Danio rerio: one gene and its partners. Each later gene encodes a partner of the first gene's protein in a complex. Links are inferred from orthologs where the notes say so. Each region holds a gene or a part of one and is shown in the gene's direction. Other genes may lie near its edges.

Region 1 (4,419 bases):
GTCTTTCTCCCCTGCGTCTTTTTTTGTTTTGCCTCTGTGAAAATCAGCGCTTGCTATCCTGTCGCAAAATGCGGCAAAAATTCTATATGACGGTAATAGTTTGATTGTGGTGTTTACATTCGGAGAGCAGCATTTACATCGGATCTTTCAGTCTGTAATATTCTATTGATATTAACTAACTGTAAACTTAGTAACTAAATCATTTTGACTAAGGTATGTCTCTAAAAACTGAAAGAGTACAAATCTGTAGAGACAAGACAATCAACACCAACTGGAGCCGCATCTTTTTTAAAAGGATACAAGTGGCAAATCCAGATTTCCCCATTTCCTTATGCGAAAAGCTTTCAGGTAAAAAATGTTCCTTACAAATATATTTCTGTCGCATGAATTGTAAACCACAAGTGAGTCCAGCTGCACTCTCATAGCACGAAATTGAAACAAAACCTTTGTTGCAGCACATTTCTAAAAAAAAGCACTGACAACCCATGTCTCCAAACAATTCTTGTTTTTCCATTTTTTTGGCAACACAACGTGGTGTCTCTCTGCAGTCTGAACATTCTATTAGGTAAAAACAGTCTTCGAAGCTATCGTGCATATTAATTAAGTTGCACCTCATTCACAATAGAGCGCGCTAATTGGTTTGAACCAAGTCTTTCTCATGAATTAATGCTGCACATTCGGACTCGGATGTATTTGCCAGTACAGACATCCACTCTCCATGCTGGATTACACATAAGGATCTAATTGCCATGACGTAGCTTCAAAAATTAGTTTCAAATCTGAGAAAACAAATTTGCTTAAAATAAAGCAAAAACAACCATCACTTTTTTTTTGTGAAATATGTGTCTATAGTGTTTATTAGAACACATATATGACTGTCAACATAACAAAAAATGTGTTTTGGTGTTTCATGAACCTTTAACTTTAAGGTCCAATTCTACCCTTTAGCCCTTTCTATTACTCAAGTCTCTTTAGCTTGAAGGCATAGGGATAAGGGCAAGGGGTAGATGCCCCTTCGAATGGAAATTTTTTTTAGGACCAAACTCGAAACTAAGGGGAAGAAAATTTCCCAGAATACACCAGCCACAACGGCAGTATAGCTGCACCCGGAAGTAAAGAGATCCACAAATTAGTATTAGTAATTTATTGTCGTTATTTTTAACTTTTACAACAAACAAGCACAGGTTTTAATATATTCATAACTGTGTTTTTTTTCTCTCTCTTTTTTTTAAAAGCTAAAATAAAAAACGCTAAATTTCGCTATCTATAATAACTCCTGTATAGCAGTCCCACAACATTCTGACACTCGAATACCCTGTCAGAAGAGTCTAGTGGCTAGGAATGACCGTTTTACAGTGTCTGCTATAATGTTAATGTTGTTTTTGGTGTGTTTACATTGATGAACATGGCCAGGGTGTAAATGCACAGTACTGTTACGATTTTATTGCCACATTAGATCGTTATGATAACATAATATATACCTTCAGTGATTTCCTGAAGATAAATACCAAAAAAATAAAGCAACTAGAATCATTACAGCAGTCACGATTGAAGCATGAGATCGCGACGACATATGATGATGTGTACAGGTGCTGTAGTGCCGTCCCATTTCTTAGGGGTAAATTTTGAAGCCCTTTCTCTTCACACTTTATTTCAGGGGGCCAAGGGGAAGGGGTACAAAAATAGGATTGGGTCTAAGTACTTATTTTGCTTATGTAGATTTATTGGATTTCAATTATATATCTAATAAAAATCCAATAAATCGAGAAATTTTCGAGTGATGTTTTTTCACAGCTGTATATATATTAATGGGTATGTTTTGTTGTTTGCAGATGTGGTGATCTCAACCGCTTGTCACCCCACAGAAAACATCATTGCATCAGCAGCACTAGAAAACGACAAAACCATCAAACTTTGGAAAAGCGACTGCTAAGCCTGAAGCGTAATTTACTTTAATATTTTGTTCTTTTTTTAATTTTGTACTATTCATTTGGTGGGGGGGAGAGACTCGTTTTTCATTTGAGAAGTCATGCTAGGCAAGAAGACTGATGAAAGCGCCCTTCCCCAACACACCCTGTCCTAACACGGTGCCCTCTCTGTGCACTAAAACTATCACTTTCCCTCTGCCTTGCCGACAGCTTTTTCACCAGTTTAAGCGTCCAGCAAAACATTAAACCAGTCTGTAAATTTAGGCAGCTTTGTTTTAAACTCCACAAACCTATTAGGACAAAAAGTGTGTTCGTGTCTTTTTATTTCTGTAAGTTTTGTAGAAAAGACACTTGTGTCTCTATCAGTTGTTTGCACACTTTCTGAAGCCAGCAGAACGCCTTGGGCACATTTTAAGTGGCCATTTTAACAGAAATGTTTGAAGTATTACATTTCAATGCCTGCATTTCTAGGAGCGATTTGCAGCTTCACTCCATTATTTGGCTGAAAACATGTCTCTCAAACTGCTGTGAACGCCTCAAAGACTTACCTTGACGTGTACTGATGTCAAATCAAACCTCCCATGTATGAAATGTTATCTAAATGTTTTGAACATTCACTATTTCATGTTCATTTCTGTACAGCGCACAATTGCAGATGACAAAGCAGCAATTAAAACCATTCATTTGTGTAATAGTTGCTAAGCTAGTTGTTTATGGTTTTCAGTGGCTTTCAGTGGCTCAATGTGGTCTAGGCAGTGCTAACAATAAAACTACTCTTTCGTTATAAAGGCTTTTCGCAGATACACACATAATGTATGCCAAAAGTACACTTTATTGCTACACTTGTATTTACCTGTAACACCTGTTTATATAAGTTTTGGTGCTTTTGAAAAATAAAACTGTACAATACATCGGGATGGAGTAGCAGTTCGGTCAGAGCGTTCAGTGAAAATATTGGTTTAATGGAAGAAAAAAAATTATTACTGAACAATATGATAAAGGAAATATCCAGTTTTAATTAACTTATGCAAGGAGGAGTGTTGCTGGGAACTGAATATGCCATAATCCTATATCTTGTGACCAAAAGCAGTCTCGATGTATTTAGAGCCTTGAGATGTTTTCTGTACCTGACACACTTTGTACATACTTGCAGCTTCTCTGTTCAGTACGTTTACCTCTGTTCTGTGGTCTTATTAACCGTCTCAAGTAGCTGATAGTCCTTCGAGCGTGTTTTGTTTTTCCTGCTTGATGTGGATGATGGTTTGGCATAAACCCATCTTCTGCATTTGGACTCTGGTCTTTTGTTTTTGGTTGGATTTCCGGTGCACTGCAGTGATGACAAGGGCCGCATGAGGAATTGTATCTGTATTGCATTTAGTCACTTTGGACATGACCTGTGACTCAATAAAGATTTTTTTACCTGTGTCAGTGCAACATCATCCGTGCATTTAGAAAAATAGTTTTCATTCGATACATGTTGGAGACAATTATTGGTACCCCTTAATTCAGTAGTCACTTTCCAAGATAAAAGCTCAGACTTTTCTTTAATGCTTGACGAGTTTGGGAAAATTTGGAAAGAGGCCATTCTTCCATAAAGAAACGCAGGATCCCTCAAATTATCTGGTCCAGGGGTGTCCAAGCATGATCCTGTAGGGTTGGTGTCCTGCTGAAATTAGCTCCAACTTGCTTCAACGCACATGCTAGTATATTTAGTAAAAACTTGATGACCCCGTTCAGGTGTGTTTGATTTGGGTTGGAGCTAAAGTCTCCAAGACACCGGCCCTCCAGGACCATTACTGGATTTAGTCATTTGGGGCCCTAAACAATTCAAGCCTCGAGACCTGGAAGTCCTACAGTGTTATGTACACTTTGTATTTATTTATTTACTTAGTTGTCTTATCACTTGCTTTCACATGTTTATCTTAACACAATCTCTACATTTTAAAAGATTTGTTTACTAAAAATGAATTCCCAACTAGAAATAATGAATAAACGATTTGTTTTTAACACTAACTTTTCATCTGATTTGATTGATGGACTGATCTAGAAGATAAGGGGTAAGGGGGACACATTTGCACAGATGTACTATTCATTCATTCATATATTTTCTTTTTGACTTGTCCTTTTATTAATATGGGGTCGCCAGAGCGGAATGAACCGCCAACTTATCCAGCATATGTTTTACGCAGCAGATGCCCTTTGAATCTCCATCACTGGGAAACTGAATTGTCACTTCGGACAATTTAGCTTAACGAATTCACCTATACCGCATGTCTTGTGGGGGAAACCGGATCACCCGGAGGTTACCCACGTAAACATGGAACGTTCTATGTGCAAACACCGCAGAGAAATGCCAACTGATTCAGCCGAGGCTCGAACCAGCGACCTTCTTGCTGTGAGGTGAGAGGGCTACCCACTGTGCCACTGCGTCACCACAGATGTACTAATTAAGGTAAATTTATATTTGTTTGACCTTTATCTTATAAAATAT
Region 2 (3,851 bases), on another chromosome or scaffold:
ACAGTTTTTCAGTTTCGATAAATGTCAACTGAATCATCAATTTATTTAGTGTGGTTTGATTCTATAGGCATGCAGGGGTTTACACAGCAGAGGAAGTGGCACTCATCACACGTGAAAAGCTTATCAGACTTCAGTCCCTCTACATAGACCAATTTAAACGTCTGCAACACTTACTAAAAGAAAAGAAACGCCGTTACCTGCACAGCCGCAAGATTGAACATGAGACTATCGGTGAGACTGCTGTTGTTTGTGTGTATATATATATATGTGTGTGTGTGTGTGTGTTTATATATATATATATATATATATATATATATATATATATATATATAAACATATACATATATATAAACATATACATATATACATATATACATAAATATATATTTATATATATATATATATATATATATATATATATATATATATATATATATATATATATATATATATATATATATATGTGTGTGTGTTTATATTTATTTATTTATGTTTTTAGCCTACTACATATACATGCATGTATAAACACACAAACACACTCAGGTCTGTTTTTGTGATTCAGGGAGCAGCCTGTTAACTGGTCCAGAAGGGCTATCTATGAAGGAAAGGGAGAACTTAAAGAAGTTAAAGGCTTTGCGGCGTTATCGGCGTCGTTATGGTGTGGAGGCTTTGCTGCACCGTCAGCTCAGAGAACGAAGACAAGCAATCACTGAAGGAGGACCGACACAGGTATGGATGGACTTTAAACCATAATGCATCAATCTGATGTCAAAAATTAGAAGGGACTAAAGCAAATGTTGTGTCTTTGTTTTGCCTCTATTTGGGCCAAAAAGCTTTTCTTGAACACAACAGTAGCACTGCAGGTGATGATCACAGGTGCATCCTGTGTGAAAGGAAAAAAAAAAAACTTTCTTTGTCTGTATCAACGGATATCAATGAATAAAAAAAAAAGTGAAAGCAAAACAATGACTGCATATATAAAAAAGTAAACAAAGCAGTGTTCGTTTACCATTTTGAACATAGTCATCAGTTTTTTTCATTTCATGTGCTCATGCTATGATACTGATATATTGGAATGCATGGGGGGATAATGTAACATTAAAAGGGCCTTTTATCATTGGCATCTTATGTTTTGCTTGCATTACGTTTTATTGTTTTGTTCTAAAAAGCCATTCAGAGCGATCTGTGTCACCAATGGCCTTGAGGCTTATTCAACACGCCCAATGTTCAGCAACCTGAGCCTAACTAAAGCAGATTTGTAGACCACAGTGCAAAAACTAACTCAACAGATGGTCACTGACAGCTTAATGTGTCATGGCCATTGTGAATTTGAATGTTTAAAATAACCAATTTAAAGCTCCGCAATCTCATTTGAAAGACAACTGAATTCAATTGAATCGTCCTCACTTTTTATTGTTATTTTTAATGTCTTTAATGTCGTCATTTTTTTTTCTTCACAGGCAATGCGTTTAGGCCAGAGGTGCATTTCCTTTGTGGAAGGGACACGCTGTTCAAATCAGTGTCTGCCAATGACAAGACATTGTGTCTCTCGTATCCTTTATGTCTTGTGTTTCTCTGACTCTTATGTTCAGTTTTTTTTTCTGTTAAGTAGTAAAGTCTTTTCTGTTTAATTTTTGGGGTTGGTAACATTTCTTTGATGTTTAAGAAAAATCAAATGATAGCAAGGCTGTATTTATTTGCTTGAGAATAACAGCAATATATTTATCATGTAAATATGTATGCATCATTTTATAATATATTATGAAATGATGCATGCAAGTTTACATAATATTTTTTTCTAATATAATACACTTTAAAATATAATTTATTTCATAGACTGCATTATATATATATATAAGTATATATATATTATATATATAAGTATATATATATATATAGGGCCGTGTGATCAGCTGATGCTTTTACATTAGGCTCAATTACCTAATTACAGCAAAGTTCATTTGATTCCCTCCCTACCTGCCTCTCAAATTTGTACTCAGAAAAGTAGTTTATCAGCATGCTAAGACTGAGCAGCACACGTGTCTGTTCATAACGAGTTCAAATGAACTGTAATTTTTTCCACTTTTTTAGTTGTGCAGTAATTAGATAAACAGCACATCAGTTATTTGTGTCAGTAAGCAATTAAACTCACAAATACTAACCAATTTGACCATTTTGTACGTAATTAATAGCTTCTCACTTCCATGGTTTGGTGCTATATTAACTGTCCCAGAGATCTGTGAACTTTTCACCAGACCACCCTTTTCAGGTGGTCCTGCGCACACCAAGACCAGCTTATTTTACATTTTCACCAAACCACAAGCATTGCAAATTTGCACGATCCTGTGTTCTACACTATTTGAATTGCATCCAAGTGAATTAAATCTTGCATGCAAAAGTGCTTTTCTAGTACCATATCAGATCTGCATTTTTTATTTTTATCGCCAATGTGCACCTGTGCACCAGTTAGGTAGTATTTTGTAGCCCTGAATCAAGGCCCGCAGCTTGCTGTAGCTGTTGGTTTCAAACAGCGGCTGACACAAAACACTTCTTAAGGTCTGTTGACTTTCCCAAAATGATCTGATGGGTTAAGTCGATTTCATTTTGAAGGAACATTTTAAGTTCTCCACCTCTTCCCACCTTCCATATCTTTGACATTAAGACACTTTTTTTCCCCAGTGCTAGTTCTCCAAATCTCCTTAACACCCCACCACAGACATTTACCAAGACAGCAGCCAAGTTTTATTCAAGCTGTGCCCTGGTCTTAAGGACGTCCCATGCGATCGTCCTGTCCACATGGGACAGTCGGAGGAGCCCCGCTGTCCTCTACACCTGTCCCTGCCTCCACCCATGTACCAGCCCGAGCAGGAGTCTCTCGCCCCGGAGCAGCTGGCGTCTGCGCCCACAGACATGTACCTCAGTGCCGCCGAGCTCCAGCCAACAGAAAATCTACCTCTGGAATTCAGTGATGTATGATTTGTGTTGCTTTTTCTCATTAAAACAAGTCAATGTGTGCAGTCACTCTCCTCATGTGTTTTTGGCACATCCCTTCATAAGTTGGGTATCATCAGAATAATTAAATCGGCATCTGCACTAAATTTGTTCTCCAGAACACCTTGCTTCGCTGAGGTATCCATCATGTATCTACATGCCTGCAAACAGTGCTGCTCAAACACGTCCCCCGCTGTGTAAATCATATCCCATACTCTTACATGAATGAACAACAAATTAATCTGAATGTTCAACTGTCATCTTCCTCTAATTTTGTGTCTGACATTTTGTGTGTGCCCACAGTAAAAACCTCATTTAATCTCATTTTTGGAAACGTTTAATTTGCCTGTTATGCTGCATTGCATAATTTATTTATGTATTTTCCCCGATGCCTGTTTGCAAAACCAATTTTGATGTTTTACTGATTAATTGGGCTGGTTGTTAGACCAGTGTACTCAGTCAGTGAGTACGTATACATGGACGCTAATAATCAGATTTTAATATGATTAAGACAATACTCTGATTAAAAGTCTAACATGGAAAAAAGCAATTTTTGATCAACCTGATTAAGGTCATAATTGAGCTAAAGAAAAATCAGATTAAGACATGTTAAGTATGCCAATTTTAGTCGCATTATTGAAGTACAGTACAGACATGTAAAGACCTTAAACTTATCATGTAGGACTTTTCGTTAATCAAATTATGTGCTATAACATGTAAAACCAGATCATGAAAGGAACATGCAAAAAGCAACATGTGTAAACGCCTTAATCATATTATTGTCTTATTCAGATTAGGGCACTGTTAGAATACAATTTAGTAGCCTTTTTGAAAATATAAGCTGTTGCAAAAACTATATA
Region 3 (4,668 bases), on another chromosome or scaffold:
GCCTCTGGGAGAAAGTTCCAAAAACCAGAATAGTAAATTGTAAAACTAAATTTTATTGTCAAAGATGACAAACATCCAACCTAATGAGCAAGACCCTTTAGCATGTGAACATACAAACAAACTCGAGCAGCTGTTTGTGCTAATGGATAAACAATCTATGTTGTGCAAAGGAACAATGCAGTTATGATATGCTAATGTATTCCACTATTATGTTAAACATTTATAACGTGTTGTTTTACAGAGGGAAAAATTATTACAATAAATATGGTTTTATCGCCAAGCCCTAGGTTTGTGGTGAGAAAACAATTCACCTTAAACAGGGGTCTCAAACTCGCGGCCCGCGTGCCATTTGCGGCCCTCAGTGCAATATTTTGTGGCCCGCGCCGACCGCTGATTCTATCCGTACACAGCGGTCACTGGCATTCCCCGCCTGCCGTGTAAACAAAGGGGCGGGGATGCTGGTGACGTCACCACGCACCCCGCCCCTTTGTTAGACGCTGTGACGGGCGGGAAGTGTTGATTTTTACTTCTGAGTCAAACACCGGCGTAGGCTACGTCGCTGACGCATAGCCCTTCGCCGTGGCCGTCGCCGTCACTGACGTGCACCTCTCAAAAATTGTAACTACACGTTGTAACGACGCGTAGCGCAAGCTCTGTGATTGGTCGGCTTGCTAGCGCCGACGAGTCTGGGCGGGACCGAGAGCCGCGAGAATGGCGCGAGCGATTGTTTACAAGTGTGGAGTCCTGTGAAGGAGCTCCGGATGGAAAGTTTTGTTCTGTGTTTACCTCATGGTAAAAGTTATTGCACGTCCGCCGGTTCCTGCCTCAAAATGAGCGAGTTTGAGTCACTTGTACATCCAGGAAGTGTTCAGAATAGCAAAACAGAAGCGAAGAAACTCGACACAGAGGAACATTTACACCTCACTGCCCACTAGCGTTTCGGAAGTGTTAATGCAGACCAACAGAGACAGCGCGCAGAAGCCTGGTTTATACTTCTGCGTCAAGTGACCGGCGCAACTCACGGCGCAGGCAACGCGCGCAGCTGTGCATTTATACTTCTGCGCATTTATACTTTAAATGCACAGCTGCGCGCGTTGCCTGCGCCGTGAGTTGCGCCGGTCACTTGACGCAGAAGTATAAACCAGGCAGGGAGGGAACTCGTGCCGGCCAGAACCAAGGTAAGCTGTTCCCGCCCCTGCCTGCCACTTAGCTACCTATCTGCAGCCTGCCACCTACCTAGCTACAGCCTGCATCTTGTATATATTATAGGTAGATACAGACTGGTACAGACTGATGTGACTGGAGTGGGGTGGGGGTGTTTTATTTATACATATATATATATACACATATATACATATATAAGATTTGTGAGAATAAGCGCTGTCAAGTCTCTGGCCGCAAGAAGTAGGCAAAAGATGCCATGTTCAGAAGAACTGTTCATAATCTTCACTCAATGTTCTATTAATGTCCAGGACACTTCATGTTCAGAAGAAATAATTAAAACTGTTAATAATGACATTTGAGGACTTTTTTTGTGAAATCCCTTATGCGGCCCAGCCTCACCCAGACTTTGCCTCCTGCGGCCCCCAGGTAAATTGAGTTTGAGACCCCTGCCTTAAAGGGTATGATAAGATATGTGCATATAGACAAAGACTATAGACTACACAACCTGTCACTTGTGTAGTTTCATGGTGAATGAAGCCCTGCCTTCTAGTACAGGAGCCAATCAGCTATCGCTATTCTATATCAGCTATCGCTATAGACTATAGACTAACTCCCTCTGTGGGAGGGATTCGGAACAGCCATGAGTTTCTGAAGATTTTGTGTGATTAGAACGTTTTAGAACTAAAACTAAAGACACCGTTATTGTTTAATTTTATTGTAATTCCTAATATGAAATTTAATCCTAAGCTTGGCAAGCAATTTTTTATAATTGGATGTATCCATATTCAGACAGAATGCCTGAGCATAGTGCCCAAGAGGCGTTTCAAAGATGGCTGCAGAGTGAACTGACTTGCCTTGAAGAATAGGTCTCAAACTGGTTTCCTGGAGGGCCACAGCTTTGCACAGTTTTGTTTCAACCCTAATTAAACAGCTGATTAAAATAAACAAGGTGTTCAAGACTACTATAGACTATTAAGCAGGTGTGAGTTGGAAGTGGTTGGAGCTAAATGATGCAGAGCTGCGGCCCTCGAGGAATTGAGTTTGGACACCCCTGACTTAAAGGGACTTTGATATAGAATAGCGCAGGGGTTCTTATACTCTATCTTGGAGATCCGGTGTCCTGCAGATTTTAGCTCCAAAAAAAGGATGTTTCTAGAAAGCCTATTAAGAGCTTGATTAGCCAGCCCCATTAGATTTGGGTTGGAGCTAAAATCTGCAGGACACTGCACCTCCAGAGCCAAGATTAAGAAGCTCTGGACTGATTTCACAATCCTGTTTCTTGTGCCCACTGAACTGCACGTTTCTTATGGTTTTCTTTTCACTTCAGACACTTGTTCTTATTTGACAAGTTCCCTGCAAAGTGACTTTAGAGGATATTATGCCATGTTTTATTTTTGAAGACAGCATATATATTTTATTCAAAGGAAGTTTCAATGTGTGATATGTAAATGTATTGTACAATATATTTATGTAGGCATGTCACATCTCAAGTAAGAAGACTCTGCAGGCATTTAGGCAATGCTATTGTGCAAATCTGTGAATGAGTGTTCCGAAGTGAAATAAATGTATTTTGTGCTCAGGTAGAGCTCAATGAAGAAAAAGCGAGTAGGGAGTAATGCACACTGTGTGGAGACCTGTTAATTCTAACATGGTTGATGCATGGAGCTTATTTAACGAGCTGGTTATCAAGATCAGGTGTGTTAAATAAGAGTATGCAAAATGTTCGGACTGGTGGGGCACGGCATTGAGAAACACTGATTTAGACTAGCTGATATTAGCTTAATCTTCAAATTCAACCTAGAAGAAATTGATACATAGTAAAAGCAGTAACCCCTTTTCCCCCCAAACAATACACATGGTCTACAAGTGAGAAAATTGTGTAAAACAAATTTGATAAACACCTGAACAGTGTTTTGTCGGAACATTACAGAATATTTAGGTCAGTTTGTTTAAATTATGAAGTGAGAAATCAGCATTTAACAAAACAATGTGGCTGTTAGCACTCATTTTGAGGACGCCAGTAAAGTCATGCTTATTTTTATTGAACGTTATGCAGATGATTGCTATTAAAACTGCATAGAATGGAGAAAACTGTCAGTCTTGCTGTTAATTATAATTTTACATCAAATTCTACTGACAAGCATCTCTGTATTGATTGTTACTACTTTTGGAAATGAACTAGAACAAATTTCCTAGTCAAACTACATGCAGATTTACATAACTGCCGGAGAAAATGTTGTTGGGAAGGTGTTTACCAGCTGAAGCAAATCTTCTGGGAAGTTTACAATGACAAGCTGCTTTGGCCTCATAAAGCAAATACCACACAAACTCTGTTTTGACCTGATTTATTTTTTGCCACATCAGTTTTTCAATTTACTTCACTTAAAGTATATCAAAGCCTTTAGTTTGAATCTCAAAGCCTTTAGTTCGAATCTCAAATTTTTGACCAACTGTATCAATGTCTACAATATTCAGTCTAAAATAAGTTATTTTTCACTTATTCTAAACCCTTTAGTTTTGTCAACTGAATGCAAAAATCTATTTTTTAAAATGTTGGTAACCGGTAGTCATTAGTTTCCGTAGTATTTATATTTTCTTACTATGTATATCAGTGGCTACTTGTTACCAAAATAAATAATATACATCACAGAGGGTGGATTGAAACAGCCTTTTAACTAAGCAAATTTTATTTTTATTTTTGTGTGAACTATCCCTTGAAGTTCGCTTCTACGGAGCATATGGATGGATGTAATTGTTTTCCTGTTCTGAAAAATATTTTTTGTGAATATTTACAGTGAATATTTTCACTGTAGTTACAATTTTTCACTTAAATATACTTTTTTTCTTAAATAACATTATATGTGTTCTTCTTTTTTAAGCACTGGAAAGTCTAGGATTTGGGTCATACATCGCAGAAGTAAAAGACGTTCTGCAGGAGTGTAAAACTGTAGCACTTAAAAGAAGAAAGGCCAGCTCTCGACTAGAGAACCTTGGCATTCCCGAGGAAGAACTTCTCCGCCAACAACAGGAATTATTTGCTAAGGTAAAAATGCATGCCGAATGGTTAATTCTAAAGATTTCACTCTTAGCTTAGCAGTTGGTGCCTTCTCGTTTTTTTTTTTTTTTTTTTTTTAATGCAAAAAGGTACACAAATTACATTAAATCACCAGTGTTGCCAACTTAGTGACTTTTCAGACCCCCTTAGCGGCAAATATTCCAAAAAAAAAAAAAAGCGACTAACAAAAAATCTAGCAACTTTTTTTGGTGTTACTGGAGATTTTTTATGGACTCTTAAGCCTAGTTCACACTAAAGGATTTTAAGCCTGATTTGAGCCCGATTTGAAAGTTAACGAGCTTGCTGACAGATCGGACTGTGATCGGGAAAAACAATTTCCTGGTGCTCGGCGCTCTGCAGTCTTATTTATGAACTACTGAATAACGGATCAAAAAGGCTTGATGACACCTCGCAGACAGAAATACAATATCTAGCATGCTGAATATTCC
Region 4 (4,668 bases), on another chromosome or scaffold:
CGGTGCCAAAACGGTGCCGAAACCGATACTTTTGAGCCTCAAAATGATGGTGGATGAAAAATCTTTGATGAGAAAAATCTTTTATTTGACAATGTTTTAATCATTTTAATAAACAATATAATTAAAGTTTAAATTAAGCATCAATTCATATTTTATATATTTGATTTGAATAGCATTAATATATATTTTGATCATTTGTTTGTTAGCATGAATATAAGATTTGCATTACCATCACATTAACTTACTATTTACCTGTGATAAGGCTGTAATCAAAATCAGGGAACACCTTTTTTTTTTAGGGTTGAGGCTTGTGACTATGTTTACATGGACATCAGTAAACTAATTATTTGCCTTTATCTGAATAAGACGATAATAAGATTAAGATGTTTACATGAGTTGGTTTTTGAATGTTCCTTTCATGATCCCATTTTACATGTCATAGCACAAGGATTGATTAACGTCATTGCATCACCAGTTTTTCACCATAGTTTTTCAACTGTACCTGCAGTTTGTCAGTTTCACTTTTATTTAGCAACATATTGTTCATGCCCCATAAAAAACTGAGGTATCGGAGGCGAATATGAAGTAAGGACTGCTGGAAGAGTGTAGTTTTAATGGATTTTGATACCGCACACCGAATGGGAAAAAAATAAAATTAAATTGTGACGCGGGTGTCTGTGTTCCTTTAGGGTTATCAAAAGTTTCTGTTTACATGGTGAACTCTTAATCAGAGTATTGTCTGAATCATATTAAAATCGGAGTATTGGTGTCCTTGTAAATGTACTTAGTAAAAGTGCCAGAAGATGTTGCAAGCTGCATTCCTCTGCCTTTAATTTCATTCGCTGTGTCCTCAAATGTTTCACGTGTTTCCCCTTACACGCACATTTATATATTAAACTAATTTATTGCATTCTGAAAATGTCAGAAACAAACACAACAAACTTGCCTAAAACTCAAAATGGCATACAGCAACAAAAGGCAAACTGTTAGGAGGATCAGTTACTGAAATGCTTCATTGGTTGCTGAATGATGTTTTTAACTAGTCATGCAGTTTACACAACAATCCATATTCTAGTGCGCAAATTTAAAAGTGAACGTAAAATGCATGAGTCAACAGATTTGTCTGTATTTTCAATTTTGTCTCCTTTTTGTGGCGATCAAAATGTATCTATTAGGCAATCTAATAAGCAGCTAAACGCCACTTGCCTTTGACAGCAAAAGCCACTATATCCCGAGAACCAATCAGAAGGTGCGAATCCAATCCTGTTTTCAATGTAGCAGCGCACTGATACGCCGGCTTTATGAGGACTGTTTTTTTCCGCTTTCGATGTAGATTTTAAAGGGCACCTATGGTAAAAAAAAATCTACTTTTCAAGCTGTTTGGACAGATGTGTAAGTATAGTGTATAGACCGTCATATTGGGATGATATAAACACACACAGTCCTTTTTTTTTTTTCAATTTAACAACAAAAACGGTGGACCAATTGGAGCGGTTTCTTAGAGCGACCGCAACTTGCCGTAGGAGTGCGGTCCCCCCGCCCACCAATATTGATTGATTAATTCTGTGCATCTACTGTGTTGTCAGTTCTGGAGAGGCGTTATCCCAAGGAAGTGCAGGACCTTTATGATGTCATGAGACGCTTTGCGCGTGTGGTGGGACCAATAGAGCACGACAAGTTCATCGAGAGTCACACCTGTGAGTATTTAACCCTCTTTTCAACCACTCGATATAGAGAAATCCAGAACACTGCTGTTACCGGACTCGCTAGTTTACCAGACTTCAGCTGACCTGAGATCAATCTAGCCCTGTGTGTCTTTGTGGTTCAGTGAGTGTGTGCAGGACAGCTAGATTTAGACGAACAAGCCCTCATGTCATTCAGCAGCACTCAGTCTGAGTTCAGTCTGTCCGCCCCACTAGTCTGAATCAGCCAGGGTGAAAAGTTCAGCGCTCCATCTGCTCTGTTTCTCTCTGTCATCAACTGTTCACAGTGGAGTTTGAGCTGCGGAGGGAGATCCACAGACTGCAGGAGTACAGGAGCGAGGGAATACAGTCCTTCTGCGGTAAGATGCACCCTCAATCACAAGCATATCATAGGAGGTAACATAAATCAGAGTGCCACGGTGCTATTTTTAAGCTTTCAAAATTAGGTTTTTCATTCACTAAGGAGAAAAATCACTTTCGTTTTATCATTATATACACTCACCGGCCGCTTTATTGGGTACATATAAAATGTATTAGTATCGGGTTGGACCCCCTTTTGCCTACAGAACTGCCTTAATCCTTCATGGAATAGGTTCAACAAGGTACTTAAAATATCTCTTAGAGAATGTGGTCTTTATTGACATGATAGCATCGCGCAGGTGCTGAAGATTTGTCACTGATGCGAATTTCCCATTCCACCACATCCCAAAAGGCTCCATTAGATTGAGGTCTGGTGACTGTGGAGGACAATGTGAACTCATTGTCATGTTCAAGAAACCAGTCTGAGATGACTCACGCTTTATGACATGGTGCATTATCCTGCTGGAAGTAGCCATCAGAAGAGGGGTACACTGTGGTCATAAAGGGATGAACATGGCCTGCAACAATACTCGGGTTGGCTGTGGCGTTGACACAATGCTCAATTGGTACTGGTGTGCCCAAAGTGTGCCAAGAAAATATCCCCCACATCATTACACCACCACCAGCAGCCTGAACCATTGATACAAGGCAGAATGGATCTATGCTTTCATGTTGTTGACGCCAATTTCTGACCCTACCATTCAAATATCCTCCGATGGTTGTGCTTGAAAATCCCAGGAGATCAACAGTTTCTGAAATACTCAGACTAGCTCATCTGGCACCAACAACCATGCTACATTCACAGTCACTTAATTTTTTTTCCCCCATTCTGTTGCTTAGTTTGAACTGCAGCAGATCGTCTTGACCATGTCTACATGCCTAAATACGTTGAGTTGCTGCCATGTGATTGGCTAATTTAAAATTATGGGTTAACGTACAGTTGAACAGGTATACCTAATAAAGTGGTCGGTATGTTGTAGTCTCAGCTCATTTCACACAGTTAATAAAATAGATGGTTCATTAATGCAGTTTTTTTAAACCCCCTTTGTTATGTTCTGATTGGTCAGATGTCATGAAAAGTCATAAGTACGGGATACTACACACCATGCACTTACTCACTGTGTACTTATGTACTTACACACATAGTGTATGAATTTAGTGCCAGTATTTTACTAACCAGAAATTCAAACCGTTTCCCAAATGACATTTGACGGTTGCCAACTTAGTAATGACCAAATAGTACCTGTCATGAGTATAACCACATTCACCAATGGTGAACACATTGGAGCACTTTTTTGACAGTGGTTCCTTTCAATATAATCCAGAATTCAGAACAGTACAAGGTAAAAAAAAAGTTAATAAATGTGAAAATATACACAGCTATAAAGTATATAGAGTTATTAAATGATACGCAAAGTCTTATAATTAATTATAAACAATATGTGACTAGTATTGAGTTGAGAAAGTAACATTCAAGTTGTCAGAAAATTCTTAAATGTGCCATAGAATGACATTTTGGATATACCTAGGCATAGCTGAATAATAAGAGTTCATGGAAATTACATATCATGAGCCTCAAATATCAATGTGTTATTGTTCTCCAACAAATCCTGTGAGTGCAAAATCCCAGTGAAAATCCGGCCAATTGGAACAAAACACAAACTCTGACAATCCACACAGAATCAATTAAATGAACGCCCCAGGCAGTGTTTGATTGGCCACAACGTTTTCTAGTGAGATTACATCAATTATTATTTTCCCCTTATTTTTAACTTTATATAAGCTTGTATTAAACATACTATGCATGTGGGTCTCTTGTTTTGAAAATAGGAACAGGCAGGGAGATTAAAAAAGGAACAGTTTAGTGAAGTAGGCAGCTATGCATGACCACTAAGTGCTCACAACTTGTCAGAAAGCAAAATGCAGGATATACGGATTAAAAACGTATTCAGCACCACCTTGAAGAGGCATAAGGTCTGTTTAACTCCTCTCTTTTGTTAGTTTAAAGTATATAATTCGCTGTGTATATTTGTGATGAGGCAACAAACACACGTATACTGAGTAAAAGTGCTTAAAGATTGTTTCTGGAGATTTATTTTTTTGCTTACCTGAGCCACAAACCTGTTATTTAGATATCAGTGAACAATTTTCACTCCTTTACATTTTTACAAATGTTTAGAAAAGATCAACTTAAAATTTTTTGTGGATGGTAATTCCAAATCATGTAGAGGCAGTTTAAATTAGAACACAGTCAACAAGTGATGATTTAAGCAGAATCAAGCACTATCTCATCTGAATATGGTCCATACGCTCTGACCACAGCTTTTTGATAATGCTAGCCAGATCTCACATACAGAGATCTATGTTCATATCTGAAGTGACACCTGTCATCTGGTCTGCAGGTGCTAAAGTCTATGAGCGAGTGAAACGCACACGAGAGGATGAGCGCAGGAAGAGGAACATGCTTTGTGACGTCCTGCAGTACATTCATGACACCCGCGCCTGCCAGCAGTGGCTGCACAAACAAGCTGCCATGTAAGATCTCTTCCTCACTCACTCACAATACTGCTTCCTTTATGTTAAAATGTATTATTACATGAGTCAT

What was found. The genes of interacting proteins can lie anywhere in the genome.
Region 2: wdr5 (region 1) and kansl2 share a complex: the UniProt entries of both Homo sapiens proteins name them as parts of the NSL complex. The link is inferred for Danio rerio from reciprocal best matches to the Homo sapiens genes WDR5 and KANSL2.
Region 3: wdr5 (region 1) and dr1 share a complex: the UniProt entries of both Homo sapiens proteins name them as parts of the ADA2A-containing complex. The link is inferred for Danio rerio from reciprocal best matches to the Homo sapiens genes WDR5 and DR1.
Region 4: wdr5 (region 1) and tada2a share a complex: the UniProt entries of both Homo sapiens proteins name them as parts of the ADA2A-containing complex. The link is inferred for Danio rerio from reciprocal best matches to the Homo sapiens genes WDR5 and TADA2A.

Annotation. Positions count from the first base shown.
Region 1 is NC_133196.1:19,694,292-19,698,710, forward strand, and holds the end of wdr5 (WD repeat-containing protein 5), read left to right. Parts: intron 1-1,832; coding exon 1,833-1,933; 3' UTR 1,934-3,352; downstream 3,353-4,419.
Region 2 is NC_133198.1:27,545,680-27,549,530, forward strand, and holds the end of kansl2 (KAT8 regulatory NSL complex subunit 2), read left to right. Parts: intron 1-67; coding exon 68-231; intron 232-562; coding exon 563-729; intron 730-1,460; coding exon 1,461-1,551; intron 1,552-2,480; exon of another isoform or gene 2,481-2,618; intron 2,619-2,716; coding exon 2,717-2,976; 3' UTR 2,977-3,017; downstream 3,018-3,851. UniProt on the Homo sapiens protein: Non-catalytic component of the NSL histone acetyltransferase complex, a multiprotein complex that mediates histone H4 acetylation at 'Lys-5'- and 'Lys-8' (H4K5ac and H4K8ac) at transcription start sites and promotes transcription initiation.
Region 3 is NC_133181.1:26,450,382-26,455,049, reverse strand, and holds part of dr1 (protein Dr1), read left to right. Parts: intron 1-4,043; coding exon 4,044-4,207; intron 4,208-4,668. UniProt on the Homo sapiens protein: The association of the DR1/DRAP1 heterodimer with TBP results in a functional repression of both activated and basal transcription of class II genes.
Region 4 is NC_133190.1:18,239,867-18,244,534, forward strand, and holds part of tada2a (transcriptional adapter 2-alpha), read left to right. Parts: intron 1-1,586; coding exon 1,587-1,697; intron 1,698-1,990; coding exon 1,991-2,062; intron 2,063-4,465; coding exon 4,466-4,598; intron 4,599-4,668. UniProt on the Homo sapiens protein: Component of the ATAC complex, a complex with histone acetyltransferase activity on histones H3 and H4. Required for the function of some acidic activation domains, which activate transcription from a distant site. Binds double-stranded DNA.